2 linked regions of the Caenorhabditis elegans genome follow. The protein of the gene in region 1 purifies or fractionates together with the protein of each later gene. This does not show direct contact. Each region holds a gene or a part of one and is shown on either strand. Other genes may lie near its edges.

Region 1 (13,434 bases):
CGCTGAAGATCTGACACACTTGGAGTGCCACTGGTTGAGGGACGAGAAGATGAAGTTGATGGGGTTGAAGGTTCTTTCTTCTTGACTGGTTCTTCTACTGGCTTCGGTGGATTCATAAACTGAAAAAGTAATGTAAACTTCGAAATTTCAAAAATCAATCATACCTTATCGTATTGTTCCTTCCACAATTTTCCGATTGTTTCAGAGCTAACATAAATCTCACTGCCTTCTTCGTTGTATGTTTGAGCATTGTTCACAAGCAAATTCATATCATCATTCAATTCTTCCATAACCGTATAACGTCCTGTTTCGATCTTTTTGTTGATTCGATCGAAATCCATTGGTTTGGAAATCACTTGATAATAGTCCGGCAGTTCTTTACGAGTTGGAAGTGTCTGGAATACATCCGCGATGAGTTCTCCATCCTCATTTTTATATTCTAGAATAACATCAAGCATTTCATTGATTTTTTCTGCCAATTCTGGATCCGTCTTCTTCTTCTTGTGTTGTAGAACAACGTCATCCATAGAATCATCATTCTCGTCCAATCCAGCCATTTTACGTTTTCTTTGCTTTTTACGTTCAGCCACAGCTTGATTATTTTCATCCTCAACTTCCTCAACTTGTTTCATGAACTGTTCATCGGACAAAAGATCGGAAGAGTAGTCGACCTGAAAATGAATTAATATTGTAAATTCTCTTATATATTCCTTACCTCTCTTCTGCGTCTTCTCTGATTAGGAGTTTGATCAACAACTTCACGACCTTCCTCTCTGGCTCGTTCCATTTCCTCATAATCGAATGACAATTTGAGAATATCGTCTGGAATTTCATGTTCTTCTAGAAGACGGGGTTTACGGTGAAGTTGATTAGCTTCTTCACGACGACGATCAATATCCATCGATTGGAAGATATTAAATTCTTCCTCTGAGCGAGCAACCATCTGATTCACAGTTTCATCATCTGGAACTTCCTCTTCTTCTTCCTCTTCTCCGTCTGCTTGAATAATTTGTTCGAGCATTTGCTTTCTTTCAGCTCCAGTTGAACGTTGATCGAACTTTCCTGCTTGAATAACTTTCTCGTCGACATTCAACTTGTAGCGAGCAGCGGCAAGAATTTTCTCTTCAACAGAGTTAGCTGTGATGAGACGAAGAACTCGAACTTCTTTCTTTTGTCCGATACGATGTGCACGATCTTGAGCCTGCATATCCTGATGAGGATTCCAATCCGAATCAAAGATAATAACAGTATCAGCAGTTTGCAAATTGAGTCCAAGACCTCCAGCTCTTGTAGAAAGCATGAAAAGGAACAAATCACTGTTAGGAGCATTAAACTGTGTCAGCAGATCTCCACGCTCGTCTGGTTTAGTTGAACCGTCTAAACGGAGGTACGTGTATCTTCGGAAATTCAAAAAGTCTTCGAAAATGTTCATCATAGACGTCATCTGGAAGAACATCAGAATTCGATGACCTGTTGCCTTTAGTTTCGGTAGAATACGATCGAGAAGTTCCAACTTTCCAGCAACACGCATTAGATCGGTTCCATTGACTTCGTTGACCTTCCAGTATGCACGGCAGGAATCTTCAATATTAGGGAAAAGGAACGGGTGATTGCAAAGCTTGCGAAGATGCACGACAGTGTTCATCAACGAACGTGCTCCAGATGACATTTTAGCGTCGAGAAGCAATCCTTTCTGCATATGACGATAAATAACCTTTTGCAAAGCAGACTGGTCACACTTGATGACATACTCGGTCTTGTCAGGAAGCTGTGATTCTACTTCCTTTTTGAGACGTCTCAGCAAGAATGGACGAAGAACCTTGTGCAGTCTTCTGATGATGAGCATCGTCTCTTCTTGATTCAGTTCTACTTTCTCTCCTGTAGTCGCAAATGGAGCATTGAACCATTGTTCGAAAGTTCCACAAGATGAGAAGATCGATGGAAGTAAGAAGTTCAGCAGAGCCCATAGCTCAGGAAGTTTGTTCTGAAGTGGAGTACCAGTAAGAAGTAAACGATGCTGAGCATGGAAGAATCCGTTCAACATCAATGTCAATTTACAATTGTGATTCTTCAAACGATGTCCTTCGTCGATTATCATATACTTCCAACGGATTTTACCAAGCAGTGCTTTCTCTTTGATCACATATTCATATGTTGTCATCAAAACGTTGAACGCTCCTTTTCTGATTTGTCCTTCAACACGACGACGAGCATCTTTAGTTCCTTTATAGATGATAGTGGTTACAGATGGAGCCCATTTAGCAAATTCGTTCTGCCAATTGGACAACGTGGAGAGCGGTACGATGACAAGATATGGTCCATTGTTTTGTTTGACTTCCATCAAATACGTCACCAACGAGATTGTCTGAAAATTAAAAATTGATTAATATTTCCTCATTTCCCAAATTCCTACCTGAATAGTTTTTCCTAGACCCATTTCGTCGGCGAGGATACCGTTCAGATTGTTGTTGTATAAGGAGACCATCCATTCCAATCCCTTAATCTGATACGGTTTCAGCAGAAGATTCGGATCACCACCACCCATCGTTGTGTGTTGCTTGACAACCTTTTCTTTGATTTTGTGAGCAGTTGCATAGTAATCAGCCATTTGCTTTTTCGTTTTCTGATCATATTCATCCTCTTCGTTACGTGCCTTCTCGAGGATCATCTTAGCTTTTGTCTCTTCATCCATTCCAGCGTACTGATCATCCTTCTCTTCTTCTGGTTCCACTGGAGCCTCTTCCTCTTCCTCTTCTTCGTCATCACTAAGCTGATCACGTGGAACTATCTCATATTCTGGATGAGTTTCAAGCCAAAACTCAATTTCTTCAGTCTTTGGAGCTTGATCTCCAGTAAGCGCTTTTCCAGTGCTTCTCTCCCGAACGTGAACCCTGGCTTCCTCATCCATTTGATTTCCTTTTTCAATTTTCTTATCTTCCTTCTTCTTTTTCTTTTCGGTATTTTGATGTTGACGAACAAGTGAGCACAGAGAGTCGACGTACTCATCGGTTTGTTGAAGAAGATACACAAGACGTTGATCTTTCTTCTCATCAAGAAGAGCACGATATCCTTCTTCATCTTCTTGCATCAGTTTTTGCATACGAAGTTTTTCATTTCGAATCTCGTCCTTCTTGCGTTCACGTTCATTGTTTTGATGATATGTCATGACTGCCTTGCGAGACTTTGCCATTTTCAGAAGATTGTTTCTGAAAATAATTTAATTAGTAGGAGAACTTTCTAAATACAATCTCACCTATGATACTCCTTGAATTCCTTTCCATGCTGAATGATAGCTTGCATCAAATCAGTATGCTTCTGCCTTCTCTTTCTTTCTTGCTCCATCTTTTGTTGCTTCTCAAGCTTTTCGGTAACACGAGCTTCGCGTAAAGATTGCCGCTTTGTGCGTCGATACGCATATGGATTGAGTGCAGTTTCGAGAGTTGTGTCTCTTTTGAGACAAGCCATCACTTCACTGCGCACCTAAAAACAGCTTATTGGTTAAAATACTCTTCGAATCCAGAAATTACCTGAGTTTGGAGATTGACAAGACGTAAAGCACGCAATTCGATTTCTGCTTTCAATTTCATGTGATCTGGAATGTCGGCGGGTAAGTTATTGAGTAGCTTCATGCGTAGCCCGATTCTGTTTTGAATCATATTTTCTCTTTGCTTGAGCATGCCAACAGGATCAATTCCTGATGGAACAGAAATTGTTGTTGGACGATTACAGCGTATTTGATGGAGATTGAAAATCTGTAAAAAAGTAGACTGTATAGTTTCATTCGATCCATTTTACCTACCTTCATCAAATCATACGGCAACTTTTCTCCATTCTCTGCCTCTCCTGGATATTCATAAGGTTCAGGCAACAAAGTTGTAACTTTTGGTCGGAGCATGACAGCATCCGCAATCAAGTTGGCCGGTACTTGTTCATTTCGAGCCAAAAGACGATAGGCTGACACTTGAGCCCTCAGTTGATTGAGTTGTGCTGGGGTAATTTGTTGATTCCCGCCATTTTCCTGTCCTGGAACGGCGTCTGGGAGACCAGATTGGAGTTTTTGCTTCAAAAGAACTGCTTTGGCGTGTCGATGGTCATTCTGAAGACCTTGTTCCTCCATTGAAGTTATCGCATTTTCCAGTTTGGAAATTGTCAGCTCTTGGCCTTGAGCTCCATCACCAGCTTGCTGAGCAACAACTTCACCGGCTGGTTGCGGTGGTTGAGCAGTAAACTGCTCAAACGCCGGCCTTCCGCTCATTCTTCAAAATTCCAGCAATTTGATACACTATCTTCTTTCAAATTGATAGTCTGAAACAATTATTAATTCAGAATTTTAGATTCAATTGAACATTCAAGATAAACAAAAAGTATTGCGGTAATAGTATATAAGCGAATTTCAGAAGAAGCCTGCGTGAATAATAAAACCGAGGACAATATATAGACTTTCCATCCATCCTAGTGCAAAAAGAGTAGGACTGATGGAACCGAGAAATAGCGTGCAAGTGAAAGAGAGATGTAGTGTATTGCAGGACACAACTTTCGGCGCGCATTCAAAATTTCTAGCGCATATAAAACACGGAGAACTCTTCGGGGGCCCTTTGTGAGCTAGTGAGATAAGAAAAGCTAAGAAAAAACTAAAAGATTGACGATTTCTAAAGATTGTGAAAAAATCGATAAGTAGTGACGTGTACGAATCGACTTTTCATGAATCCTGAGAGGTTTTTTCGTTTTCCAACGACGTATAAGTGTATACTGATAACTAGTATCGCTTGATATCGTGAAATTCGTCTGAAAACCGAGAAAATCCATGAAAAATGGTCTAAATTGTGTGTTAGACTAAGCAGCTGGGGAAGAAGAAGGTTTGAATGTATGCAGTGGACGCGCCGAGCGTCGATTGGCCAGAGAGGCAAAGTGAGGAGAAACACTATTGGAAATGGAGAGACGCAGACACTCTGCATGTCTGCCTGCATTGGAAACGGGCCATTGCGGCGGAGAGGACAAATGAATGGGAAAAGAGACAAGAAAAGAAGGAATAGTGGAAAATACAAGAAGACTACGGTAGATATAGACCATATCAGAGCTTCATTATGACTATTTGAATAAAGTATTTGAAGGAAATTTAATATAGCAAAAATATTTCAGCGCAACAACATTTAATGCTAGTTTAAGAAAAAAATGAATACTATACATAAATTTTATATTCTATAAAAATCTTCTTCGACTGCGACGAAATGAATGGTGCAGTCATTCGCTTCAAAATTGCATTTAAGCTGTGGTTTTTCGGCAGGGATTGAGAAAAACCGAGTTATATTTAAGAAATGCATTTTAAAATATTTTTTGAAGAAAAATGTCAATTTAAGAATATAGAAAAGAAGATCGAACATTGAGACTCGTCGGCGCCGAGTATTAAAAATCTGACGAAAATTACAGTACTACTCCGATTCGCTGCGGGACCCGTGCTTTATTTTCACGTATGGTCCTTTCGATTATTGACTTTTTGTATCTTGCAGCTGGAGCCTTATTAGCTTGCGTCCAAGTTTTATCAAAGTTTTATTCCATTTTATCTGTATTTTTGTTCTACTAATTAGTTTAAAGCATGTATGAATATTCTTTCAACCCAAATATCGATCATGAGCCCGGATCTGTAAGCTTAATATTGCTGATTCAAATCTAATTTTGCAATTTTCAGGTAGAATCTCAACAATCCACTATTTATTCGGATTCTGATGATTCTGATGACAGTTTTCTTGACGATGAAGTAATACCACCGAAGGAACAAGCTATGAGAAAAATTGAATTCGCTCTTGCAGATATTAAAAGGCAAATGGATAACAAAGAGAAATCGTTGACTTTGAGAATGTAATAAGTTCCTGTTGAAAATGTTTGAGTAATTTTGTTTTTTTTTTCAGATCGACTAGTAAATCACATTTTTGCCTTCGTTATACAGCAAAGAGGAAAGGAAAATTGGATAGAGATTTGCACTGTCTTCACCAAGTTTATGATTTGCTCGAAAATGACAAAAGATCAACGAAAAGAGAATTGTATTATGAACATAAAGCAGTTTATGGAAACCAGAAATATTTAGACAGTTCAATAAAATCAATTTGTGAGCTTTTGAATGAAAGTCGGGCTAATTTAAACATTGTCAGTGTGACATTAATAAACAAGAAATAATTTCCAAATTTCAGCTCTCTTGTGGACGCGGGATAATTCGTGGAGCAATTACTTTTTTAGTTGAGAATGTTGGTGTAATTGATGCGAGAGTTCAAGAAGTTTTGATCACAGGTAAGGTAATAAAAAACATTTAAAAATGATCAACGCTGGTGTTTCAGATGCACTGTTATTTTCGAATATAATATCAGAAGCCGATTTCATACTTGTTGTTGAGAAAGACACAACTTTTCAAAAATTAATGGATGAAAATTTTCAAGCAATGTTTCCACGTGGGATTCTAGCAACTTCGAAAGGATATCCGGATATTGCAACTCGAAATGTTCTGAAAATGTTGAGTGAAAAAAGAAAATTTCCAATATACGGACTGTTTGACGCTGATCCGCATGGTGAATTTTTAATAAAGGATTTAAAAAATAACTATATTAAAAATAGTAATACTTAAATTCAATTAAGGTATTGAAATCTACTTGACTTACAAATATGGACCTACGAAAGAATTTGCCGAAGGCCGAGGAGCCTTTGTTCCAACGATTGAATGGATCGGGTAAGACGATTTTATATTTATTTTCATAATTTCAACAAATTTCCAGTCTTTTCCCAACTGATTTTCATCGTTTCACCATCGATCAATCACAATGTCTTCCATTGGTTCGAACTGATTTTGTGAAAATTGAGAAGATGATTCCTCGATCGATTCAACTCGGAGAAATAGTGGTGACACGAGAATTAGACTGGATGATTCAGAATAAATTTAAAATGGAACTTGAATCAATAAATATGTGCGGACAGGAGTATATGGCTCGATTCTTGATTGCTCCGAGAGTCATGTCGATAGAAAAAGAAATTCCGATTCAACCAGAGACGATTATAAACGAGTACCACGAAGATTCACAATGTTCGCTGTCGACAGATGATGATCGGGAAGCAAAAGACGATGACTATATAGATTCGGATGCTGAAGAAAAGTTCCAGAATATGATAGATAATGATAGTGATTGAAAATAATATGAAACAGATTTTATTTTAGTTTCAAATGCAATATATTGCAATTACAACCACAAAAGGGGAAAGGAACCGTAAAGTGTTCGAGAAGTACTGAGACTGAGAAGTGGGGGGAGAAACAACATTAAATAAATAGAAAACAACACAAGTTATCTTATCTTATCACAATATCATCGAGTGCATAAAGCTAATGGAATGGGGAGATGTTTTACATTGTTTAGAGCTCAGAGTGCTCCTCCTCAATCGTTGTTTCTTCAGCGGCTTCTGGCTCTGGTTCAGCCTCTTCAATATGCTGTTCGGTTTCAACTTGAGCATCTTGGGAAACATCGAGCGATTGGCGAAGGACAGCTTCGATTCTATCAGCAAAACCAACTTGATCTTGAAGTGAGAATCCAGAACGAAGAGTGGCAGTTTCGAAGAGAAGCTTGGCAGTAGAAGCAGCGGTGGTATCTTCTTCAGAAGCAGTGACTCTCTTGAGAAGCTCCTTGATAACTGGATGGCGTGGGTTAATCTCGAATGTCTTTTTCTGAGTAGCATAGAAGTCTTGAGTTGGATCCTTTGCCTTAGCATAAGCTTGCGACTTCATAATGCGCTCCATGTTTCCAGACCATCCGTAGGAAGAGGCAACAAGGGCAGATGGTGATTTGACAAGACGTTGAGAAACAACTGCTTTCTCGATCAGATCCTTGAGTGCAGTTTCCTTGAGCCAGTCAGTAAGTGGCTTGAACTCCTCTTCAAGACCCTTGTGGGCTTCCTTGGCCTTCTCTCCATCATCGATGGTAACTCCTTCCTGAAAAATAGCATGTTGATAGGTAAAACATCATAGCCACTAAAGAAAAAAGCCTTCAATACTCACCTTAGCCACATTTTGGAACTTCTTTGATTCATATTCTGGCATAGCTTGAATACAGTACTCATCAACAGCTTCGGTGAGGAACAAAACTTCGTATCCCTTAGCGATGAGTCTCTCTACGAATGGAGAAGTTTCAACTTCCTTTCTGGAAGTTCCAGCCATGTAGTAAATGGCGTCTTGCTTTTCTTTCATTCTTTCGACATAGGCGGCAAGAGTAGTTGTTTTGTCAGCATCATTAGAAGACTGGAAGCGGAGAAGTTTAGCAAGACGCATACGGTTGGATGGATCCTCCATAACTCCCAACTTGATATTGGTAGAGAACTCGCTCCAGAAGTCATCGAATTGGGCTCCGTCGAGTTTCTTGAGCATGTCGAGCACTTTACGGACAAGTTTCTTCTTGATAACCTTGAGAAGTTTGTGCTGTTGGAGGTTTTCACGGGAGACATTGAGTGGGAGATCATCTGAATCAACGATACCGCGAATGAAGGAAAGATACTTTGGAAGCATATCGGCAAAATCGTCAGTGATGAAGACACGACGAACGTACAATTTGATGTTTTCGATAACTTTTCCGTAGTTCTGAAATAACATTATTAGTTGAAAATAACTAAACGCAATTAAAACAAATGCTATATAACTTTCAATATTCTTACCTGGAACATGTCATTTGGAGACTTCTTTGGAACGTAGAGGATAGATCTGAAGGAAACTTCTCCTTCAGCACTGAAATGCACGTGACTCAGTGGCTCTTCCGAATCCTTGGTGATACTCTTGTAGAATTGCTTGTATTCGTCTTCTTCGACCTGATTTGGTTTGCGCATCCAAATAGGTTTAACGTTGTTGACCTTCTCCCAATCCCAGGTGGTCTTCTCAACCTTCTTGGTTTTCTTTTCTTCCTTCTCTTCTTCAACAGCTCCGTCTTCAGTGGTGGCTGGTTCCTCTTCAACTGCTTCTTCCACCATTTCAGTTTTGGATTGCCAGAGGAAAATGTCAAAGTTGATGAATTGGGAATACTTGTGCACCAAGTTCTTGAGGGTATCTGGCTCCAAGAAATCTGCTGCCTCCTCCTTGAGGTACAATGTAATCTGAGTTCCGCGCTTCAATGTGTTTCCACGTGGGTCTTTGCTGATGGTGAAGCTAGCTGAATCAGATTCCCAAATGTACTGATCATCATCGTTGTTCTTGGTGGTTACGACAACACGGTCGGCAACAAGGAAGGCAGCGTAGAATCCGACTCCGAATTGTCCAATAAGATCTTGTTGCTGGTCAGAAGAAGTGGCAGTGTCCATAAGTTTGGATAAGAATTCTGAAGTTCCAGAGCGTGCAATAGTTCCCAAATTGTTGATCAAATCTTGACGAGTCATACCAACTCCTGTGTCGGTAATGTGAAGAAGGCGGTTTTCACGATCAGCCTTGATTTTAACAGACATCTCTTCAGTCTCACGGAGTTGCTCTGGATCGGTGAGGGAAAGAAGACGAATTTTGTCGAGAGCATCGGAAGCATTAGAAATAAGCTCACGGAGGAAAATCTCCTTATTTCTGTAGAGAGAGTTGATAATAAGTTTCATCATTCGGTTTACTTCGGCTTGGAATTCGTGTTTCTCGGCTTTTGAGCGGAGCTCCTTGATCTGGGAGACAGATAGTCCATCGAGCTTGATCGAATCTTCCTCTCTGAAAATATTATTTATCAATTTCAATTTTTTTTGTTAACTAGTTATATTTTTAAATTGTTTTAAACTGTATTGTGTTTTAATTGTACAGTTTTGATCTTTAATTTTCCAAAATTTTATCAGAAACCCTAGAAAATAATGCGTTCACTTCTAATCCGTGTATGGCATCCCTAATACTACACCTTCCATTAGCAGAAGATTAAATCTTGTGATTCGTATCTCCGTCCTTGACAGGCTATTACGTGAATCTAGGAAAGCATACGTTAAATTATCTAGGTCGGAGATAACCCTTTTAGTCTCTCTTGACCCTTCAGCCGATTTTTCTTATTTGAGAAAAAGGAAACACAAACAAGATAAGATAACCTAGCAGTAGATCGAGTCTGTTTGCATTCCGACAAAGGGCAAGACTCAATCAAATAGTGCTCCGCGGGAGTACAAAATAGTGTGCAAAACGGATGAGAGTCACCAAGTGGACTGACGCGACCTGGTACCGTTCAAAAGTTTTGGCTGAGGCCGGGGGTAGACAAATATTGAGATAGTTCAGAGTAACCAGGAAAAGGAACAGACACGTAGTGACAGGTCAATTTATTTGGAAAGTGGAAGAAAATGTGATTTATCTTTTTGGAACACTTAATCCAGCTAAAACTGTAACTATTCAATATTAAGAGCGAAAAACGAATTCGAAAGATATTTCTGATATATTAGATCTAATTAAAAATTAACAAGGTTATTGATTCTGATTTCGACATATTCACGAAATTGTTCAAAAAATGTACGAAACACAATTCAAAATTCTCTAGACTTTTTCAAATTGCAATTTTTCATAATAATCAAATTATCAAAAATTACCTTGTTTCTTCTTTGGTTTCCTTTGGTGCGTCTTCGATTTCATCTTCGGCGTAGACATTTGGAATGAAGGCTGAAAAGTGATGATTGTTGGGAATAAAAACGTGAATTCAAAAACTGCGTGGCGTGTATGCACAGAATGAAAAAATAAAGCCTAATGTTTTTATTCTGTGAACACAGTTTTAATATTTTCAGCGTACATTTAAGCTTAAAAATTTTTTTTACAATTTCAAAACTACGGTTTTCTATTTAAAGCTCACTAAGCTCTGAAAATCAATAAAAAGACATACCTGAAACAGCCAGAAGGGCGACGAAGCCCACCAAAAGGAATCTCATCGCCGTCTCTTCCTAACGACCGAGAATAAATGGAATGAGGTGTCTTTCCAACGGTCAATTACTCCCCTTTTCTCTCCGCTTGTTTGCTTTCTTTCGCCGGGGCTCACCCCTTCTCGACGTGTCCCTAAAAGTCCCGCCCCAATTTGCAAGTGCCGCACAGTGTCTGCGTCTCTTGCAAACACGTTGTCCTTCACTGAAAACTGCAAACTGCGGCGCGTTACTAGTTGCAAACAGAGGCGGAATCAGCCAATCAACGACCGAGACGACAGCTCAGAACACGTGGAGTGAGTGTCCTGGAACATTGTTTTTGTTTGCCGGATCCAGCAATATGGAATATGTTAATTTAAAAGACGATTTTTCAGTCTTTCTATTATAACAGTCACTCAAGTAATGTTCGGATCATCTAAATTAATCCTTATAGAAATTAATCATCTCACTTGTCTTGAGAATTTGTGAAATTTGTGATCGTTACTCAGCAAACTTACTTGTTTATCCGTCTCATAAACCGGTTTCTCATCTCAATCAGGCAATATACCTCCATTTCTTAATCTCAGTTTTTCCAGTTGGGAATTCAAACCTTTCGCGACATGGCTGAAGCAGCGACCGAAATCCCGCCGACGGCTAGCAATGTCACAGTTTTTACATTCGAAGAACAGGTGAGATTTTTACTGAAATTTTGTAAAATAAATGAAGTGGACAAGTATAAAATTACAACGAAGTTTTTATTAAATGTGATAAATAGCCATGCGAACTTTTTTAAATCAATTTTTCATTCAGGCTACAAGCTCGTTGGCGCTTTACGGAATGTCTATCCTCTGCATCATCATTGGATCGATTCGTTCAGCTCAATACATAAGGACGAATATTGACAAGAAGCGACTTATTGAAGGTTCGATCACTATGAGAGAAGCCAGGAAATTCCCTATTTCTGCTTCTCTGGTTCTCTTCGGTCTCTACCTCTTCTTCAAGCCTGCCGCCGAACGCTTCCTTTGGGTTGCCAGAGTCTTCCAAATTCTGCGAGTTCCCGAAGAATATGTCCAGAAGATCAATAGCACTATTATCAGCTATACCGCTAATACTACGACTACTGGGCCTTCCGAGCCATTCTTGCTCCGCTTGGCGTCAAGGATACCTCAAGAACGCGTTCCAGAAGCAATTCAAAATGCGGCTACATACGCTTATACCAACTTACCAACAATTCAAAAAGCAGAATGTATGCAACTCTTGACTTTCCTCATCTGTTTCGAAGGAGTCAACGCTTTCGCGTCTCTGTTGAAGCCATTTGTTACCGCGTTTCTCAAAAAGATGCCACTGGTTCCATCCTTCTTAAGATTCAATGCTCCGTACTTATTCTCTCTCAAAAAGGGAAATAAGGAAATGGAAGAGGGTGATATCGAAGATGCGAAGAAAAAGGAAACGGAATATCTTTTCAAAATTGACTTTGATCGTTACGATATCATCGCTTTATTGATGTGCTCTCCAATTCTCATTTCTCACCTGCTGAAAAGACACTGGATCACCAATAATATTATCGGAGTGAGCTTCTCAATCTTGGGAATCGAACGTCTTCATTTGGCCAGTTTCAAGGTAAATTTAACAATTATTAAAAAATATAGCAATATTTTTGTAATAAGACAAAAAAGCTACAATTACGCTTACTGAATGGAAGAATAATTTCAATTGACCAGATAGTAATAATATATTTTTGAACTAACTTGAAATATTTGGACAAAGTAAATAGTTCTCAATTTTGGCCTAAAGCTGTTTAAAAGAAACTTTTAAATATCAAACCGTTATTTGCAAAAATAGGTTTTAAAAAAATTTCATTGAAAAGACTAATTAATATCATTATTAATTTTTTTTACAGGCTGGATCCCTTCTTCTCGTTGGTCTCTTTTTCTATGACATCTTCTGGGTTTTCGGAACAGACGTGATGACATCTGTCGCAAAAGGAATTGATGCTCCGATTTTGCTCCAATTCCCTCAAGATATCTATCGAAATGGAATAATGGAAGCCAGTAAGCACAGTATGCTTGGGCTTGGAGACATTGTTATCCCTGGAATCTTCATTGCTCTCCTTCGTCGGTTCGACTACAGAGTTGTTCAAACGACTGCCGAGTCGAAGGCTCCACAAGGATCCTTGAAAGGACGATACTACTTCGTGGTTACTGTCGTCGCTTACATGGCTGGACTTTTCATCACTATGGCTGTTATGCATCACTTCAAGGCTGCTCAACCAGCTCTTCTCTATTTGGTGCCGTGTTGTCTTTTCGTACCCCTCCTTCTTGCTGTGATCCGTGGAGAACTTTCGGCTTTATGGAACTACGATGAATCAAGACATGTGGATAACGAAGAAAATCGAAAGAAAGTAGACTCCGGCAAGAAAAATAACTAAATGATTTAAAATAGTCTAAAGTATGCTATTCCTGCTTGTTATTCTGTTTTCGAAGAATACTTGAATTGGAAAACCTAACTTATCGTACTTTTGACTATTTCTAGATATTCTAGTCATTTAATTCAACTCGATTCCATGTCCCACCACATCCTAGCATAATC
Region 2 (17,429 bases), on another chromosome or scaffold:
ATTTTCACTAAAATCAAGTAAAAATGCGAAAAAACCGGTAAAAACACGCTCGAACACATTTAAATGTATTTTTCAATTAAAAACCCGATTTTCGAGTTTTCTGCGATTTTTTTCCCGTAAAATATGTTGAAAATAATTTAAACGCTCTATTATCCCACTAAAACCGAGTAAAAAATGCGAAAAAACCGAGTTTCGGCCTAAAATTTGAATTTTCAACGGAAAAGTGGGAAAAGGCATTTAAAAGTGCAATCAAATGTGTCAGGCGAGCCACAGTTTCCCACCATAACCATAAATTGGTTAATGGGAGTGTTAAAACGAGGGATTTTCGATAAAAATGGTTTTATTGAAGCAAAAGTGAGCAAATAAATAGTTTTTTTCAAATCCAAAAATCTCCATCTAACGCCGGGTTCCATCCTCAAAGAAGATTCCTCCATCCTTGGCGCAATACTTTGGACAAATTCCCCGTTCTCCAGCTCTTCCGGCTTTTCCATCGTGTCCTGGAACTCCAGGAACTCCATCTTCTCCATTCTCTCCGTCAGTTCCATTCTCTCCAGGTGCTCCCGGAGCTCCAGCTTCTCCATCTTCTCCAGGATGTCCTGGAGTTCCACGTGATCCAACTGGTCCAATGGCTCCCGGTGGTCCTTGTGGTCCTGGAGTCGGCTCACTATTCTCAGCGTTCTCTCCCGTCTCTCCAGTTGCTCCCGGCTCTCCGATCTTTCCAAGTGGTCCTGGACGTCCTTTCTCTCCAGCAGCACCGTCTGATCCCTTCTCTCCATTGTCTCCCTGCGATCCAGGTTGCCCGTCGGCTCCCGGGTACCCGGCTTGTCCAGGGGCTCCCTTTGGTCCTGCTGGGCATGGTGGGCATGGTGGTGGGGTTACTGGCTCACATGGAGCCTCTGGTGGTCTTCCTGGGTTTCCGTTGAGTCCGTTGGCGCCGGCCTTTCCGTTTGGTCCTGGACGGCCTGGAGGTCCTGGTGGGCCTGGTGGGCCTGGAAGGCAGCAGTCGTGGCACGTTCCTTCGGAGTCAGAGCCCGTGGTGGCGGTGTGTGGTCCTTCTGGAATTTTTTATTTTGTTTGGAGTGAAAATTTTGAAAAAATCGGATTTTCCATCGCAAAAACTCCATTTTGACCATTAAGTGGGCGGAGCTTATGTGACAATTTTTCACATTTTCTAAAGCCTGAAGCTGTATGAAAAATTCGGTTTTTTCTTTTTTTCGCCTGTCTAAAAGGCCTACAAGGCAGGCGCCTAGAAAGCCTACAACTCAGGCGCCTGCGAGCCTACAACGCCTACAAGGCAGGCGGCTCTAAAGCCTAAAACGCCTACAAGGCAGGCGGCTCCAAAGCCTACAAGGTTTACAAAGCAGGCGCCTAGAAAGCCTACAAGGAATGTGCCTAGAAAGCGTACGAGGCAGGCGCCTAAAAGGCTTACTAGGCATGCGCCTACAGGGCCTACGAGACCTACAAGGCAGGCGCCTAAAAAGCCTACAATGCCTACAAGGAAGGCGCCTAGAAAGCCTACAAGGCAGGCGGCTAAAAAGCATGCAAGGCATACAAGGCAGGCGCATACAGGGCAGATGCCTAGAAGGCCTTCTAGCCAGGCGTCTACAATGCCTATAAAGTAGGCGCCTGCTAGGCCTACTAGACAGGGACCTACAAAACCTACAAGGCAGGCACATAGAAAGCCTACAATGCAGGCGCCTAGAAGGCCTAGATCGCCTACAAGGCAGGCGCCTACGAAGCAGCCTACAAAGCCTACAGGGCCTAGAAGGCAGGCGCCTACAACGCCTACAAGGCCTACACGGCTTAAACCTCACCTTCAACTCCAACAGCAACAAACGGCTTATCCTCGTAGGCGGCCGCCGGGCTATTTCCCTTCACCTCCGCCGCAGCCGCATCTCCACCACTATATCCGACAGGCGTTGGCTTGCTCGGATGCACATCGTATCCAGCTTGACGGGCGGTACGGTTGCCTGCCTGTGCGAATGGGAAGCCGGCTCGCAGAGCAGCAACGTCATCGAAAATCTGACGAGCATTGACGTTGCACGTGGCCATCTCATGGGACATCTGACGTTTTACCGATTGGACGTAGGTGAAGACAACTGGCATTGTGACACAGAAACAGATCACCGAGACTGTGGAGAAGGTGACGGCGGCGTAGCCGATAAGGCGGTAGGCCTGGAAATGATATGGATTTTTAGTTTTTATAAGCTTAGAAGGCCTAGAAAGCCTACAAGGCAGGCGCCTAGAAGGCCTCTAAGGTAGGCGCCTAAATGGCCTAGAAAGCCTCCAAAGCAGTCGTCTAGAAGGCCTAAAGGGTAGGCGCCTAGAAGGCCTAAAGGATAGGCACCTAGAAGGCCTAGAGCGCCTACAAGGCAGGCACCTAGAAGGCCTACAAGGCCTACAAAACAGGCGCCTAAAAAGCCTACAAGGCAGGCGCCCAGATGGCCTAGAAAGCTTACAAGGTAGGCGCCAAGAAAGCCTACAAGGCAGGCGCCTAGAAGGCCTAGAAGACCCACAAGGCAGGCGCCTAGAGGACCTACAAGGCAAGCCTATACGGCCTAGAAAGCCTATTAGGCCTACTCGAAATAGACCGCTCACCTTAGTCTTCGGATCATCATCAACGTGCGTCTTCAAGCCCATTTCGCGAAGCAAAACGGGTGTGGAGAATGGCTTATCACCGCCTGCGTTGCGCATTTTAAAGCCGCCGAAAATCGCCAACGACCGGTAAATCGGTGAAAAAGTTGGTTCGCATGCGAGAGATAACGTAACGCCGTGGAGACGCAGAGTGTGTGGTCTATCGGATTTTCGGCGGAAAATGCTGGAAAAAAGTGTTCCCTAAAGACGTCAAAGATGATAATGAACGATATAATTAGAAGCTTTTCTATAAAGTTTTTTGTCATTGAAGCTGGAATTTGGCTGAAATTTGCCGATTTTTCGCAATTTCTGAAGCTTGGAGCTTAAAAAGCATCGATTCTGCTCGAAATTCCCTCAAAAAAACCCGAAAACCCATCAATTTCCCGAGAAAATCTTGAAAATTTGGAGTTTTTCCTCTTCGGGGCCGAGTTGGAGTTTTCTAGGCCACGAGTTGCATCCGCGCTCCATTGCGAATATGGTTAATTTAATTTATTTATTTCGAAGGTTTTCACCGGGTTTTCGTCGGTTTTCGCTCTTTTTCGCCAGTTTTTTCGAATAAAAATTGAAATTGAATGATTTTCAGCTCAAAATGTCTGCGCTCTACTTCAAAAAGCTACGAAAACAGCAGAATCCCGACGTTTCAAGCAGCGAAGATTCGGATTCCGACGAGGAAATTCCAAAAAAGAAGCAAAAGCAACAAGTAATCACAAAAAACGGCGATTTTTGCAAATTTTTAGCGAAAAAAACCGAAAATTTCCCAGAAAAGCACCAAAAAAATCGATTTTCAGAAGCCTGTCGCCGAGGAATTCGATGATTTCGTCGTTGACAGAGCCGTACGTGAAGAAGCGCCAAAAGAAGGAGCTTTTGAGGCAGTTGACCTGCTCGGAACATCCTATTTGGAGCCATATGAGATGGATAAGGACTTGCAGGAGCTTCTGGAAAAGTCAGTTGTCGGGCCGAAGTTTGAAGGCGATCATCAGCCTCAAAATAGGCTTTTAGGCCGGAATGCGGCCGCCAGGCTGAAGAAAGTGCGTTGAAATCGATGAAAATTCGATTAAAATCGCTCAAAATCCAATAAAAATCGCTATTTTTCCAGTCAGAACGCGAAAAAACCAAAGGATCCGCTTGGTTCAACCTTCCAGCGACGGAGCTCACCGATGAGCACAAACGAGATTTGGAATTCCTTCAAATGAGATCAACTCTCGATCCATTGGCTCATTATCGTCGAAATGACCGGGCTGTACTGCCGAAATACTTCCAAGTTCGAGAAAATTTAAAAAATTCCCAAAAAATCCGAGATTTTTCAGGTTGGACGAGTCGTTGACGCTCCAGAAGACTTTTATTCGAGTAGAATGGTGCGAAAAGAGCGAAAAAAGACGATGGTCGACGAGATTTTGCATAATGAGGAATCGTTGAGCAAAGCCAAGAAAAAGTACGGGAAAATCAAGAATTTTTGTGAAAAAATTCAAGTTTTTGCGTTTTTAACGTTAAAATCGTGATTTTTAGAGCAAAAATGAGCTAAAAAGGATAAAAATTGGCCGATTTTCACCCAAAACGGCGAAATTTTGCCAAAAATCCTGGAAATTGATATTTTTAATGCAAAAACTCGCTAAAAACGGTAGAAATTGACCGATTTTCACTCAAAACGCCGAATTTTTGCCGAAAATCCTGTAAATCTGCAGTTTTTGCGTTTTTTTAACGTAAAATTATGATTTTGGACTCGAAAACCCCAAAAAAATGCTGAAAATTGATCGATTTTCACTTGAAACGACGAAATTTCGTCGAAAAAACCCGGAAATGGACAGTTTTTTACGTTTTTTAACGTAAAATTATGATTTTGGAGCTCAAAATTGGCTAAAATTGATGGAAAATGGTGAATTTTCGTTACAATATGGTTTTTTTTTAATAAAAAAAACATTTTCCAAGATTTTTACCGAAAAATTTGATTTTAGGAGCAAAAAAAAGCCGAATTTTCAGAAAATTTCGCCGAATTTTGTCCAAAAATGGCGAAAAACCGCAAACTTTTAACTGAAAACACGATTTTTGACCAAAAAAACGATAATTTCAACGTTTTTTTCCGGAAAATAATCGAAAATTTTGAGAATTTCAGTATTTTTTCCTGAAAAATCCGCTAAAATCTCTGAAAAAAGCACAGGTTTTCCCCCCAAAAATCGATTTTTCAATAAAAAAAAACTCAATTTTTTCGGATTTTGAGCAAAACAAACGGTTAAATTGTGTGAAAATAGCTCAAAAATCACATTTTTCCTCCGAAAAAATCGATTTTTATATCAAAAAGCTCCAATTTTTCCATATTTTCCTTCCAGATACGCTGAAATTCGCCAAAAAGAGCAATCTAAACGACGTGGAGCATTCCAAAAATTCGGAAATCGCAAATCTCACAAGCAACAGAGAGAATCAAAAATGAAGAATAAGAAGAAATAATTTTTTTTTGTTAATTTTTTGAATTTTCACATTTTTTTTCTGGTTTTTGTTGGAATTTTCTTGTTATAGACTCGTTTTTTTGTTATTTTGTCGATTTTTTGCCCATTTTTCACTAATTTTCACTGGTTTTCACCCAGAATTACCTTTTTTTTTACCGAAAATTTCAGCCAAAAAAATGGCAAAAATTCAGAAATGTACGCGACGAGCACACAAAAACGGGAATGGACGTATACACCGGAAAAGTTGGCCGCAATGCGTTTGGAGGTAGAAAAATTGGAATTTTTTATGGAAAATAGGCTAAAAACAGCAAAATTTTCACTTAAAACACGGAAAATTAACAATTTCGGCATTTTTTATTTAAAAAATTCGGAAAAAGTTGAAAATTTAGTCATTTTTATTGGAAAAATTAAGAATTTCGGCATTTTTTATTTAAAAATTCGAAAAATTGAGCATTTATTTCATTTTCTCTGAAAAATTCAGGAAAAGTTAGAAATTTCAACGTTTTTTCCGGAAAAATTTATTTTTTTGTTTTTTTTTTCTGAGAAAAATTGAAAAAAAGTAGAAATTCCTGTAATTTTACTGAAAAATCTGAGAATTCCACCGTTTTTTTTCCGGAAAAATGGATTTTTTTTCGCTTTTTCCTAAAAAAAAAACTGAAAAAACCTGAATTTTTCCTCAAAAAATTAAAAATGCCCAATTTTTTTGCAGATAAACATAAAATTCCGTCAAAAATACGAGTCAGTAATGCAGCCGGACGAGTTGGAGCTCTTTGTGACACCTGAAGAGGAGCTCAGAATGCAAAGATCAATTGAGGATGCTGCTTTGAAGTTAGAATTTGCTGGATTTCACCGAAAAATCGGAGAATTCCCGTCAAAATTTCATGAAAAACGCGAAAATTCCGGCTAAAATTGGATTTTTAGCATAAAAAATCCGAAAAAACCATGAAAAAAACAATTTTGTACCGGAAAATGTGGAAAAATGCGATTTTTTCTCAATTTTCTGCATTTTTTGCACCAAAAATTGTGAATTTCGGTTATTTTCTATGAAAAATTGAGAAAATCGGAATTTTTGCCATTTTTCCGATAGAAGTTCAGAAAAAATGCAGAAAATTCACAATTTTGGCTATTTTTTCTGAAAAAAATTTTTTTTTTAGTTTTTTAGTCGAGAAAACCCCAAAAGAAAACGATTTTCACACGAAAAAACCTGAAATTTTCAATTTTCCCACTCAAATACCAAAATTTTTCCAGATTCGCCGACAAATTCCGCCCACACATATGGCCATCAGTGAAATGGACAGCCTTGGCGTTTTTCAAGCGGGCTTTTCTTGTCTGGGTGCCATCAGACACGTCGATTAGGGTAAAAATTGAATTTTTAGCTGAAAATTAGTCAAAATCGCCGAATTTTTGATTTTTAAACGAAAAAACCTATTTTTCGGGCCATTTTTGCCCAAAAATTGTCAAAAATTCAATTTTTTCATACAAACTTCCGAATTTTTTTTAGTTTTAAACGAAAAAATTCTGCGATTTTTGGTGTAAAATTGACTAATTTTCGGCTTTTAAACGCAAAAACCTATTTTTCGACTCAATTTTGTGTAAAAATTGCCAAATATTTTGTTTTAAACGCAAAAATCGGCAAAATTTTGATTTTTTTAACGCAAAAACTTGGATTTCAACTCATTTTCACTCAAAAATCGCTAAAATTTTGATTTTTAAACTGAGAAAACTCAATTTTCTGCCGATTTTTGCCCAAAATTCCCCGAATTTCCAACATTTTCCATCAATTTTCCATTAAAAATCTTAATTTCAGATGGTAATGATGGCTTGCTTCTACTTGGCAATGAAAATCGACGAATTCTACATTACAATCGAAGATTTCGTGAAGAATATGAAGTAAGTCCTGATAATCGCCGCTGGCAGCTACTCATTATCAGAAGTTACAGCGTTGGAGAACCTCGACAAAATGCCGAACGGATTTTGAAGCTGGAGCCGGAGCTTATGAAGATTCTCGACTATAATTTGACTGTACATTGCCCGTATAGGTACGGAAAATCGGGATTTTCCAGCAATTTCCGCTGAAAATACTGGAAAAATTCGAAAATTTCACGAAAAACGGAGAAAATTGGCATTTTTCCGGCTCCGAGACCTCAAAATTGCTTAAAAATCCAATTTTTGTCCGAAAAAATTCAATTTCATAAAAATAAGAATTTAGAGCTGAAAATGCGCTATAAAATCCTTTTTTTTCTTACAAAATACCCCAGAAAACCTCGATCTTGGTTCAATTTTTGAGAAAAATCTGAAAATTTCGTAGATTTCCACTAGAAAATGTGAAAAATCTCAATTTGCATACGAAAAAGCCAAAAAAATCACATTTTCCAGCTTAAAACAACCCTAAAAATGACAATTTTCAGACTAGAAAAGCCTATAAATCTCATTTTTCAGGCAAAAAACCTAAAAAAAAATTTCCATTTTTCAGCTGAAAAAAGCCCGAAAAAATTTCATTTTTAAGCCGAAAACCCGGAAAAAATCCAAATTTTCAGCCGATCAAAAACCAAAAAAATCTTATTTTTCAGACTAGAAAAGCCTAAAAATCGCCATTTTTCAGGCCATACGAAGGCCATCTAATGGATATGAAGACCCGAATGCTTCTTCTAAATTTCGATCTCGAATCAATCCGCCGCGATTCTATGAGATTCTTCCAGAATGCACTACAAACCGACGTGCTTCTCCTCTATCCACCGTCACAGATTGCACTGGCCGCCATTAATTTCGGGCTCCATGCTCAGGGTACGGCGAAGATCTCGAGAAATCGAAAATTTTGGGAGTTTTTGTGTAAAAATTCGAATTCCCCGTCATCGTATTAGTCTACCCTATAAGTTTCTGCTAAAAATCTCAAAATCCCGTCAAATTCGGTGTTTTGGGTTACTGTAGCCCGTGTTTGCGTACTCTCGGGGCTACAGTAACCCTGGAAATTTCAAAATTGCGCTAGAAACTCCAAATGTTCTTCTTTTAGAGCGGAATTTGACAGGAAATCCGAATTTCGCTGTAAAATTCCTAAAATTCGTTGCGTAAAGTGATTTTCTAGTTTTCAAAATTTTTGCCAAAATTTTTGTGTAAAAATTCGAGCTCCCCGTCATCGAATTAGTCTAACACAAAAATTTCAGCTCAAAATCTCAAAATTCCGTTAAATCTGGTGTTTTGGGGTACTGTAGCCCGTGTTTGCGTACTCTTGGGGCTACAGTAACCCTGGAAATTTCAAAATTGCGCTAGAAACTCCAAATGTTCTTCTTTTAGAGCGGAATTTGACAGGAAATCCGAATTTCGCTGTAAAATTCCTAAAATTCGTTGCGTAAAGTGATTTTCTAGTTTTCAAAATTTTTGCCAAAATTTTTGTGTAAAAATTCGAGCTCCCCGTCATCGAATTAGTCTAACACAAAAATTTCAGCTCAAAATCTCAAAATTCCGTTAAATCTGGTGTTCCGTGTTTGCGTACTCTTGGGGCTACAGTAACCCTGGAAATTTCAAAATTGCGCTAGAAACTCCAACTTTTCGTGTGCTATAGCAGAATTTCACGGAGAACTCGAATTTCAGATTTAAGATCCGAAAATCTCAATTTCCGATAGAAAAATTCAGCAATTTTGCACTAGTTTCAGGCAAATCCGACGAGATTCTACGCGAGTTTCTTCGGAAACTTATCGGAATCGAAGAGGACTCGTGGGCTCATCGTGATGCTCGTCCAGAGGATTTGGAAAAGCTCGAAAAGACGGTTACGAGGTAGTGAAGAGCACCGGAAAATTGCACATTTTCAATGAAAATCGCTGGAAATTGTCGAAAAATGGCAAAAATTTGACTCAAAACACAAAAAAAAACAGGAAAAATACAATTTTTGAGCCAAATTTTGGATTTTTTCAGAGAAAAACTAACGAAAATGACATAAAAATCGTTTTTAAGTGGAAAAAAAATACCGTTTTTAGTGGTAAAAATTGACAACAAAAACAATTTTTCACTAAAAATAGTAAAAAATCGCCATTTTTTGACAGCAAAATTGGGTTTTTAGCCTTAAAATGTGTATTTTTTCCCCAAAAATTTGCATTTTTATTTGCTAGAAACCTGAAAAATGAAGCTTAAGCTCAAAAATTCGGGCAATTTTAATGAAAATTTTTGAAAAAAATCTATTGAAAACCCGATTTTTCGCGTAAAAATATGTAAAATTGCGAGAAAAATCCGAAAAAAAACCATTTTTCGCATAAAAACCGCTCGAAAAAAGTGAAAAATCGGTTAATTTTTGGCTAAAAGGTTTTTTTTTCAAAGCTCCGGCGATTTTTGAAAAAAAAAATTAATTTTTAGTTTAAAAAACCGCTGAAATTTGGATATTAATCAATTTTTCTCCTAAAAAATCCAAAAATTTTCCAGAGTCAATCAAATAATGCGAGAAGTCGATCGAAATTTCGTAGCAGTGACAGAGCAAGAACGGGAGAATCACAAAAGCCAGCTGGCACGGATTCAAGCATTGATTCCAGCACTTGATGAACGACGAAAAGAGCAATGGTTGGCTGGTGGAGGTGTTGGATTGATGCCTGGAGAGCTCGCCGAGCAGCCAGTTGATTCTGATGACGAAATTAATTGATTTTTGCTTTTTTTTTTCGCCTTGCTCCAGAAATTCTGCTACAAAATGAGCAATTTTTAACATTTTTTGGTCTAAAATAATCTAAAAAATTGGATTTTAATCTCTAAAAATTTAAAAATTCGAAATTTCCGTATTTCGACTTTAAAAAATTTCAAAAAAAATCGTTTTTAATTTCTGAAAATTAAAAAAAAAAAAGTCTGTTGGCCTGAACATTTTGAAAAATTCGAAATTTTTTGTTTTTCATTTCAAAAAATTCGTTTTTAATTTGCAAAAATTAGAAACATCGTAAAAATTTCGTTTCTAGTCTCTAAAAATTTTAAAAATCGAAATTTTTATTTTTCGAATTTTAAAAATTCCAAAAAAGTTTGTTTTTTATTTATTTTTTCCCTAAAAATTCGAAAAATCTAAAAAATGTGTATTTTGAATTAAAAATTAAAAATTTTCGTTTTTGAGCTTTAAAAATGTTTAAAAATCCCAAAAAAAGTGTTTTTTGTCTTAAAAATAAGCCTAAAAATTGCCTGAAAGCTGAAAATCACCGAAAAAATTTTTCGGAATTTTTCCACTTTTATCTGCTATTTTTCAACAGTTGTTCAGTAGTTTTTATTTAAAAAATGGGCAAATTTTCTGATTTTTTACTGAAAAATATGAAAAATTTGACGAGTTCCAGAAGAAAATTAACGAAAAGCCACAAAAATTTGCATAAAACTATCGATTTTTTTCTTACAAAAATTCAGTATTTTTTTCATATGAAAAATGAAATTGTTTTAAAAAAATTTAAAAAAATCCGAAAAATTATCGATTTTTTAAAAACCAAAAAAAATATTTGAAAAAAGTTGAAATTTCTAAAAAAAAAACTACATTTTGTTCAATAAATTCGATTTTTAAAAAAATCGAATTTTTTAAACAAAAAATTATATTTAAAAATCGGTATTTTTCGAAAAAAAAATTCCAATTTCTTATAGCTCATTTTATCGAAATTTCTGGAGCATTTCCCCCTATTTTGTTCAAAAAAATCCCTCAATTCTCTTATATTATCGGGTATAATTTTATCATTTTTATCATTTTTACTGTGTAACTAATTTCCCTATGAAAATGCTCAATTATTTATTAATTTATTGTTTTTTCCCTCAAAAAATCGATAATTATCATTAATTTTGCACTTGAATGATGAGAATTGGCGGCGCGTATCCCATTTCTCCATTATTATTATGATCATTGGCTGAAAATTGTAATTTTTATTGTATTTTTAAAAAAATAATTATGCCCCTCTCCTCCAAAAAAGTAGGAAATTTTGCTAAAAAATTTGCGATTTTTCTGAAAATCGTGTCAAAATTCCCAAAATTTTGAGCAATTTTCCAGTAAAATCGATTTTTTTTTCTTTAAAAAAATCGAAACTTTTTTACAAAAATTCCCCACATTAGGATCCTTCTGATAAGTTCCAGAATCGGCAATCTTGGCATGCCGAATCAATACGGATCCATTTGGGAAAAGCTTGAAATTCGATGAATCCACCACTCGACCCTCACCCATTTTCCACGATTTCTCCCTCTTCCGAACGACATTATCTGATTGCCAGCGGCGACGGTTCGTTTGAGAGCCGAGGAGCCTACGGCGTCTTCGATCAGAAATGAGTCGCCAACCTGGAAAAAGAAGCCGAAATTCGAATTCTCCGTGAAATTCTGGTCTAGAAAACGAAAAGTTGAAGTTTCTAGCGCAATTTTGAAATTTTCGGGTTACGGTAGCGCCGAGAGTACGCAAACACCGACTACAGTACCCCAAAACACCAGATTTGACGGAATTTGGAGATTTTGAGCTGAAAATTATGGGGTAGACTAATTAGATGACGGGGAGCTCGAATTTCTACATAAAAAATTTTGAAAACTAGAAAAAATAGGTTTTCAGTTAGAAAATCATTTTACGCAACGAATTATAGGAATTTCATGACAATATTCGGATTTCTTGTCAAATTCTGGGTCGGAACGCAAAAAGTTGGAGATTCTAGAGTAATTTTGAAATTTTCAGAGTTACGGTAGCTCCAAGAGTACGCAAACACCGACGACAGTACCCCAGAAACACCGGATTTGACGGAATTTTGAGATTTTGAGCTGAAAATTATGGGGTAGACTAATTAGATGATGGGGAGCTCGAATTTCTACACAAAAAATTTTGAAAACTAGAAAAAATAGGTTTTCAGTTAGAAAATCATTTTACGCAACGAATTATAGGAATTTCATGACAATATTCGGATTTCTTGTCAAATTCTGGGTCGGAACGCAAAAAGTTGGAGATTCTAGAGTAATTTTGAAATTTTCAGAGTTACGGTAGCTCCAAGAGTACGCAAACACCGACGACAGTACCCCAGAAACACCGGATTTGACGGAATTTTGAGATTTTGAGCTGAAAATTTTGTGGTAGACTAAATTCATAGCGGGGAATCCGATTTTCACTATTAAAATTTCATAAGTATATTTTGAACTATAGAAAATTGAGTTTTCAGCCAGAAAATCACCTTATGCTACGAATTTTTAAATTTTCACTACAAAATTCGGATTCCTCGTAAAATTCTGGGTAGAAACACAAAAAGTTGGAGTTTCTAGCTCAATTTTGAAATTTTCGGGTTACGGTAGCTCCTAGAGTACGCAAACACGGGCTACAGTACCCCAAAACACCGGATTTGACGGAATTTTGAGATTTTGAGCCGAAAACTTAGGGATAGACTAAATTGATAGCGGGGAATTCGAATTTCGTAACCAAATTTTGATTAAAACTTGCGAAACTACAAAAATCTTAAAAATTCGGTTTTTTACCTTCAGTAGAGCTGTCGCAATTGAAGCATTTGATAGAACCACTATCAGTGCCAAGATGGCAAGAATTACAGTAGTTTGGGACATTTTTCAGGGCTGGAAATCCTGAAAACTGACTGAAAATTCAAAAATTGGATATTTCTTTTATAGTGTGAGGAATTTTCATAAAAAGTGGTCATAAATTTTGGTATTCCCACATTTTTGCATATATTTTGAACCATGATTCATGTGGACAAATTGTGATTTTTGAGCACTTGGTTTAGGAATGTAGGCACGTAGGCACGTAGGTACGTAGGCACGTAGGCACGTAGGCACGTAGGCACGTAGGCACGTAGGCTCGTAGGCACGTAGGCACGTAGGCACGTAGGCACGTAGGCACGTAGGCACGTAGGCACGTAGGCACGTAAGCACGTAGGCACGTAGGCACGTAGGCACTTCATAATGGTGCAACAACATTATTATAGTCCCTCTCAATCCGCAATTTTCGCTTCAAAGCTCTGATAATTCCAAAAAGGAACCATTTGAATGTGAGCAGTGACTGCATGATTTTCACATTCCGCTTGTTACAATAAATATAAGAAATTTGAATTAAAAGCGGGGTTGTCGCAAAATTTATCACACTGAGCATTATGCAGGCCTGAAAATTCGAGAGAATTTCGAAAAAAAAATTAAAAAATTACAAACCAGCTTCAAAAATCCATAATATCCCTGATCGATGATCATTACCCCGTTAAATACAATAAACGGGAAGGTTACCTGAAAAATAGCACAATTTTAAGAGTTTTCAGTGCCTACGTGCCTACGTGCCTTCGAGGGCGCCTTATTTTACGTAACATTGAGCTATCGGTCTGAAAATTTTGGAGTAGACTAACTTGATGCTCAGGAATTCAAATTTTGCTATAAAATTCACAAGAGAAAAGGTTAAAGTTGAGAAAAATACGACTTACAAACTTCGAAACACAAATTGTGATTGCCTGGTACATAATAAGCCTATCCGTCTGATTTTCCACCACTGACGCTATATTCGATTTTTTCCGAAGACTTATAAAAATTGGAACATATAAAAATGCAGATAACGTAGCAATAACTTCCAAATAGTAATATATTGTCATATATAAACTATCAAAAGAAAACGGAAAATTATATCCAGGCTCCAGATAGCTTTCATTCCCAAAATCCCAAGAACCATTACCCAAAAATGGCAAATTTGAATAGGAAAATCGAAAATCCGTTTCTAAAATTCCAACGCCAAGGTTTGCAGCGAAAAATCCGAGATATAGCAGAATTATGATCCAGGACCAATTTTTTTGATTTAAAATCCATTTTTTGCCGAATCTATCCGAATAATAAATAAAAAACCGCTGTACTGCAAGTAAGGTGAGCAAAATGTTGAAAACTGGGAAAATGACGCAGGATATGAAGTAGTAGTGATATAAAACGTCGAACAAATCCAATTCCAACATGTTCATGATTCTGGAACAGGCTTCTTGTTGTTTAGCAGAAAATTTCACACATTTCACTATTTGGAACTTTTTTGATAGCTCCATTCGCTGAGGAGTTATGAGCGTTTGAAAATTGCGGTGCGAGAGATAGAGGGGGAGGGGAGACGTAGAGAGTCAGAGTGTCTCGCTGTCTGCGTCTCTCCTCCCCGCAGGCTCTCTCGCTCTAAACTTTGAGCGCCTGTATCTCTGTAGTGGTTAGAGATATCAAAAAACTTCCTTCTGCAAAAATATTTAAAATTTTACGCTGAATATTTAGAAACTAGAATCAAAACTACAAAGTGGCAATATACGTCTGAAAATCTGGAAAATGGATAGAGATAGAAGAATGTTGTCAACTGACAAAATGTTAAGCAGACAATTTGACACATTTTACTATTTGGAACTTTTTTGATATCTCTACTGGTTAAGGAGTTATGAGCGTTTGAAAATTGCAGTGCGAGAGACAGAGGGGGAGGGGAGACGCAGAGGGTCAGAGTGTCTCGCTGTCTGCGTCTCCCCTCTCCCTCTATCTCTTGCACTATCTCTTGCACAAAACTTTAAACCCCTGTATCTCTGCGGTGGTTAGAGATATCATAAAACTTCCTTTTACAAAAATATTCTAAATTTTACGGTGAATATTTTGAAAATAAAACTTTGTCTATAAAACTTTGTAAAACACTAAAATCTAGTACTTGAACCCGTAGAACATCTCAAATAAGCAGAGCAATAAAATGACAAGCATTACACAAATAAGCCGGTGAAAATGGACAATTATCGGTGCAGTCGGGGACTGAAACTGTTTTATTTTATTTTTAAAAATAAAATTAGCGCAACTCACGTTATTTTCCCGCAAACTATTCGTAAAATAGGCAAAACAATAAAACGGGAACAGTGCCACGTGGCATGGAATTGACAGTACTACATAAAGGTACATAAGTCCTTCAACTGCACATACGGAGATCTCGTAGATTGTGCTAAAAATTTCGGGAAGGCTCATAATATAAGGCTAAGAAATATAGAAGCCTGGCGTTTGGTTTTCTGAGAAGAAAATATGAAAAATAAGTGATATACCTGTGTGGTTAAAATTTTCACCTGCCCTTTTTCCCCTCCAAAACGCCAAATTCCAAGAAAAACATTTTTCAATGGTTAAAAATTAAGAATTGGTTTTTTTTTCTAAAATTCAAAGAAAATCTTTTTAAAACAATTCATTAAGTGTTGTATTTGAACTCTACGTAAGATTCTGCATTCTGATCCTTCTGAATCTTCCCAACCAGTTTTTTTTCTGGTCCTCCGAGCTCTGGGAGCCATCAGCTTGGAGCTTGACCAAAGCAATTCCAGTTTTTGAATCACTTAGGTCTAAGCTCAGATCTTTAGATTTTCGGGTGCTTTCATCAGCTTGAATCTTCTGGTCCTTCTGGATCTTTCCAACCAGATTCTGATCATTTGATATTTGAGAACTATCAGCTTGGAGCTTCAGATTAACCAGCACTTTTCCAGATTTGGAGCCACTTGAGTTCTGATCCTTCTGGATCTTCCCCACCAGCATCTGATCTTCCTGAGCATCAGATCGGAGCTTCAAGGTCTGCTCCAAATCCTCCACCATCCAGTACTTACTTCCTTCATCGTCAGATTTTCCGTCGTAATCTTCTTCCACAGAGTAGTAGGTGGTCAGGTCTACACAAGGCCCATTTCCACGATTTCGGGAACCCTGAGCAGGTCCAAATTTTGACTTTTTAAATTTTTTTTTCATTTCCAAAATATTCACCGTAAAATGTTGAACATTTTTGTAATTTGAAGTTTTCTAATATCTCTTACCGTTTCAGAGTTACAGGCGCTCAAAGTTTAGGGACGAGAGATAGAAGGGGAGGGGAGACGCAGACATGACTCTGCGTCTCCTCTCCCCCTCTATCTCTGGCACAGCAAGCTTCAAACGCTCATAACTCCTTAACGAGTAGAGCTATCGAAAAAGTTCCAAATAGTAAAATGTGTCAAATTTTGTGCTTAACAATTTGCTAAATGACATCTTTTTTCTATCTTAACTCTTCGCTTAGATATTACGGTTTAAAATTTTAAAATTTTTTGAAAGCTAGATTTTTACGAAATGTATGAAATGTTTTGTGCAATTCCTGTCAAAAAAGTGAGTACGTTGCAAAAACATTTTTTGTGCCTCCCTTTTCCACTCTCCGAAAATTTTTTCAACTTACACATCATAAAACTGGGTGCCCCATATAAAAGCATCATTTCCTGAAAACCGGGTCATAATTCCGGAAACCATGACGTTATTTTCTCCTTATCTGTCAATATTTTTCCTATTAACACTCGAGTTTTCACCCATATTCTGTATGTTTCGACCCAGAAGCTCCGGAGGCAATTGTTTGGATGTTCAGGCGCATTTTTATGTGTCGGAGGAGTATGATGGGTACACGAATGACGTGGAAAATGCTTATTATTGGAGACTTCCGGTTAGTTTTAGTTTTTTAAAAAATTCAAAACTTTCAACTTGTTAAGCAGAAAATTTGACACATTTTACTATTTGGAACTTTTTTGATAGCTGTACTCGTTAAGGAGTTATGAGAGTTTAAAAATTTTAGAGCGAGAGACAGAAGGGGAGGGGAGACGCAGACGTGTCTCTGCGTCTCCCTTGCCCCCACGCTCTCTCGCTCAAAACTTTGAGCGTATGTAACTCTGCAACGGTAAGAGATATCCGAAAACTTCAAATTGCAAAAATGCTCAAAATTGTACGGAAAATATCTTGAAAATAAAAAAAAATTGAAACAGTCAAAGTTGGACCTGTTCAGGGTTCCCGAAATCGAGGAAATGGACCTTGTGTAGACCTGACCACCTACTACTCTGTGGAAGAAGATTACGACGGAAAATCTGACGATGACGGAAGTAAGTACTGGATGGTGGAGGATTTGGAGCAGACCTTGAAGCTCCGATCTGATGCTCAGGAAGATCAGAAAATGAAGCTCCAAGTTGAGAAAAGCTCACGAAGCTCTAAGGATCAGAGCCTAGACTTAGGTGATTCAAAAACTGGAATTGCTCTGGTTGGTGTCAAGCTACAAGCTGATGGCTCCCAAGGCTCGAAAGATCAAAATCTGGTTGGAAAGATCCAGAAGGACCAGGCCAGCCAGAAGGACCAGAAGTTGAACCTTCAGGCAAATGAGAGCTCCCGAAACTCTAAAGATCAGAGCTCAGACTCAAGCGGTTCAAAATCTGGAAACGCTAAGGTGATTATGGAACTCCAAGCCGATGGCACATATCGCTTGAAGGATCAGAAGCTGACGGCGAAAATCCAGAAAGATCAGAACTCGGACTCAAAAACTATAGAAGATATCTTTAACCGGGAGTTCGAAGCTGATGGCTTAAAAGATCAGAACTCTAAATCGAAAGATTCGAACACCGATGAAGCTTCGCTCAACGTGAAGCTCCAGGGCTCGCAGGC

What was found.
Region 2: the proteins of spo-11 (region 1) and cyh-1 fractionate together in Caenorhabditis elegans (co-fractionation; one large-scale study listed by BioGRID). This does not show direct contact.

The regions. Positions count from the first base shown.
Region 1 is NC_003282.8:11,116,895-11,130,328, reverse strand, and holds spo-11 (Meiotic recombination protein spo-11), read left to right. Parts: upstream 1-5,466; 5' UTR 5,467-5,593; coding exon 5,594-5,641; intron 5,642-5,686; coding exon 5,687-5,856; intron 5,857-5,906; coding exon 5,907-6,141; intron 6,142-6,185; coding exon 6,186-6,282; intron 6,283-6,329; coding exon 6,330-6,557; intron 6,558-6,624; coding exon 6,625-6,715; intron 6,716-6,761; coding exon 6,762-7,170; 3' UTR 7,171-7,196; downstream 7,197-13,434. Other genes in the region: SWI/SNF chromatin remodeling complex core catalytic subunit swsn-4, read right to left, coding at 1-119, 165-671, 716-2,365, 2,414-3,206, 3,254-3,480, 3,528-3,752, 3,800-4,255; enpl-1 (Endoplasmin homolog), read right to left, coding at 7,391-7,963, 8,030-8,605, 8,680-9,697, 10,546-10,615, 10,833-10,878; imp-2 (Intramembrane protease 2), read left to right, coding at 11,466-11,534, 11,656-12,465, 12,746-13,273. UniProt on the Caenorhabditis elegans protein: Required for meiotic recombination. Mediates DNA cleavage that forms the double-strand breaks (DSB) that initiate meiotic recombination.
Region 2 is NC_003280.10:3,499,751-3,517,179, forward strand, and holds cyh-1 (Cyclin-H), read left to right. Parts: upstream 1-5,268; coding exon 5,269-5,340; intron 5,341-5,784; coding exon 5,785-5,903; intron 5,904-6,323; coding exon 6,324-6,432; intron 6,433-6,882; coding exon 6,883-6,965; intron 6,966-7,006; coding exon 7,007-7,114; intron 7,115-7,677; coding exon 7,678-7,859; intron 7,860-8,719; coding exon 8,720-8,846; intron 8,847-9,485; coding exon 9,486-9,699; 3' UTR 9,700-10,795; downstream 10,796-17,429. Other genes in the region: col-71 (Cuticle collagen 71), read right to left, coding at 397-1,055, 1,815-2,175, 2,599-2,694; Y49F6B.2 (Fcf2 pre-rRNA processing C-terminal domain-containing protein), read left to right, coding at 3,224-3,334, 3,423-3,662, 3,731-3,895, 3,942-4,066, 4,959-5,076; Y49F6B.19 (TransThyretin-Related family domain), read right to left, coding at 10,796-10,918, 11,226-11,339, 12,507-12,590; srz-5 (Serpentine Receptor, class T), read right to left, coding at 12,940-13,140, 13,188-13,259, 13,451-13,976, 14,677-14,774, 14,823-14,981; Y49F6B.14 (Ovule protein), read right to left, coding at 15,213-15,734; clec-125 (C-type lectin domain-containing protein), read left to right, coding at 16,258-16,446, 16,783-17,429.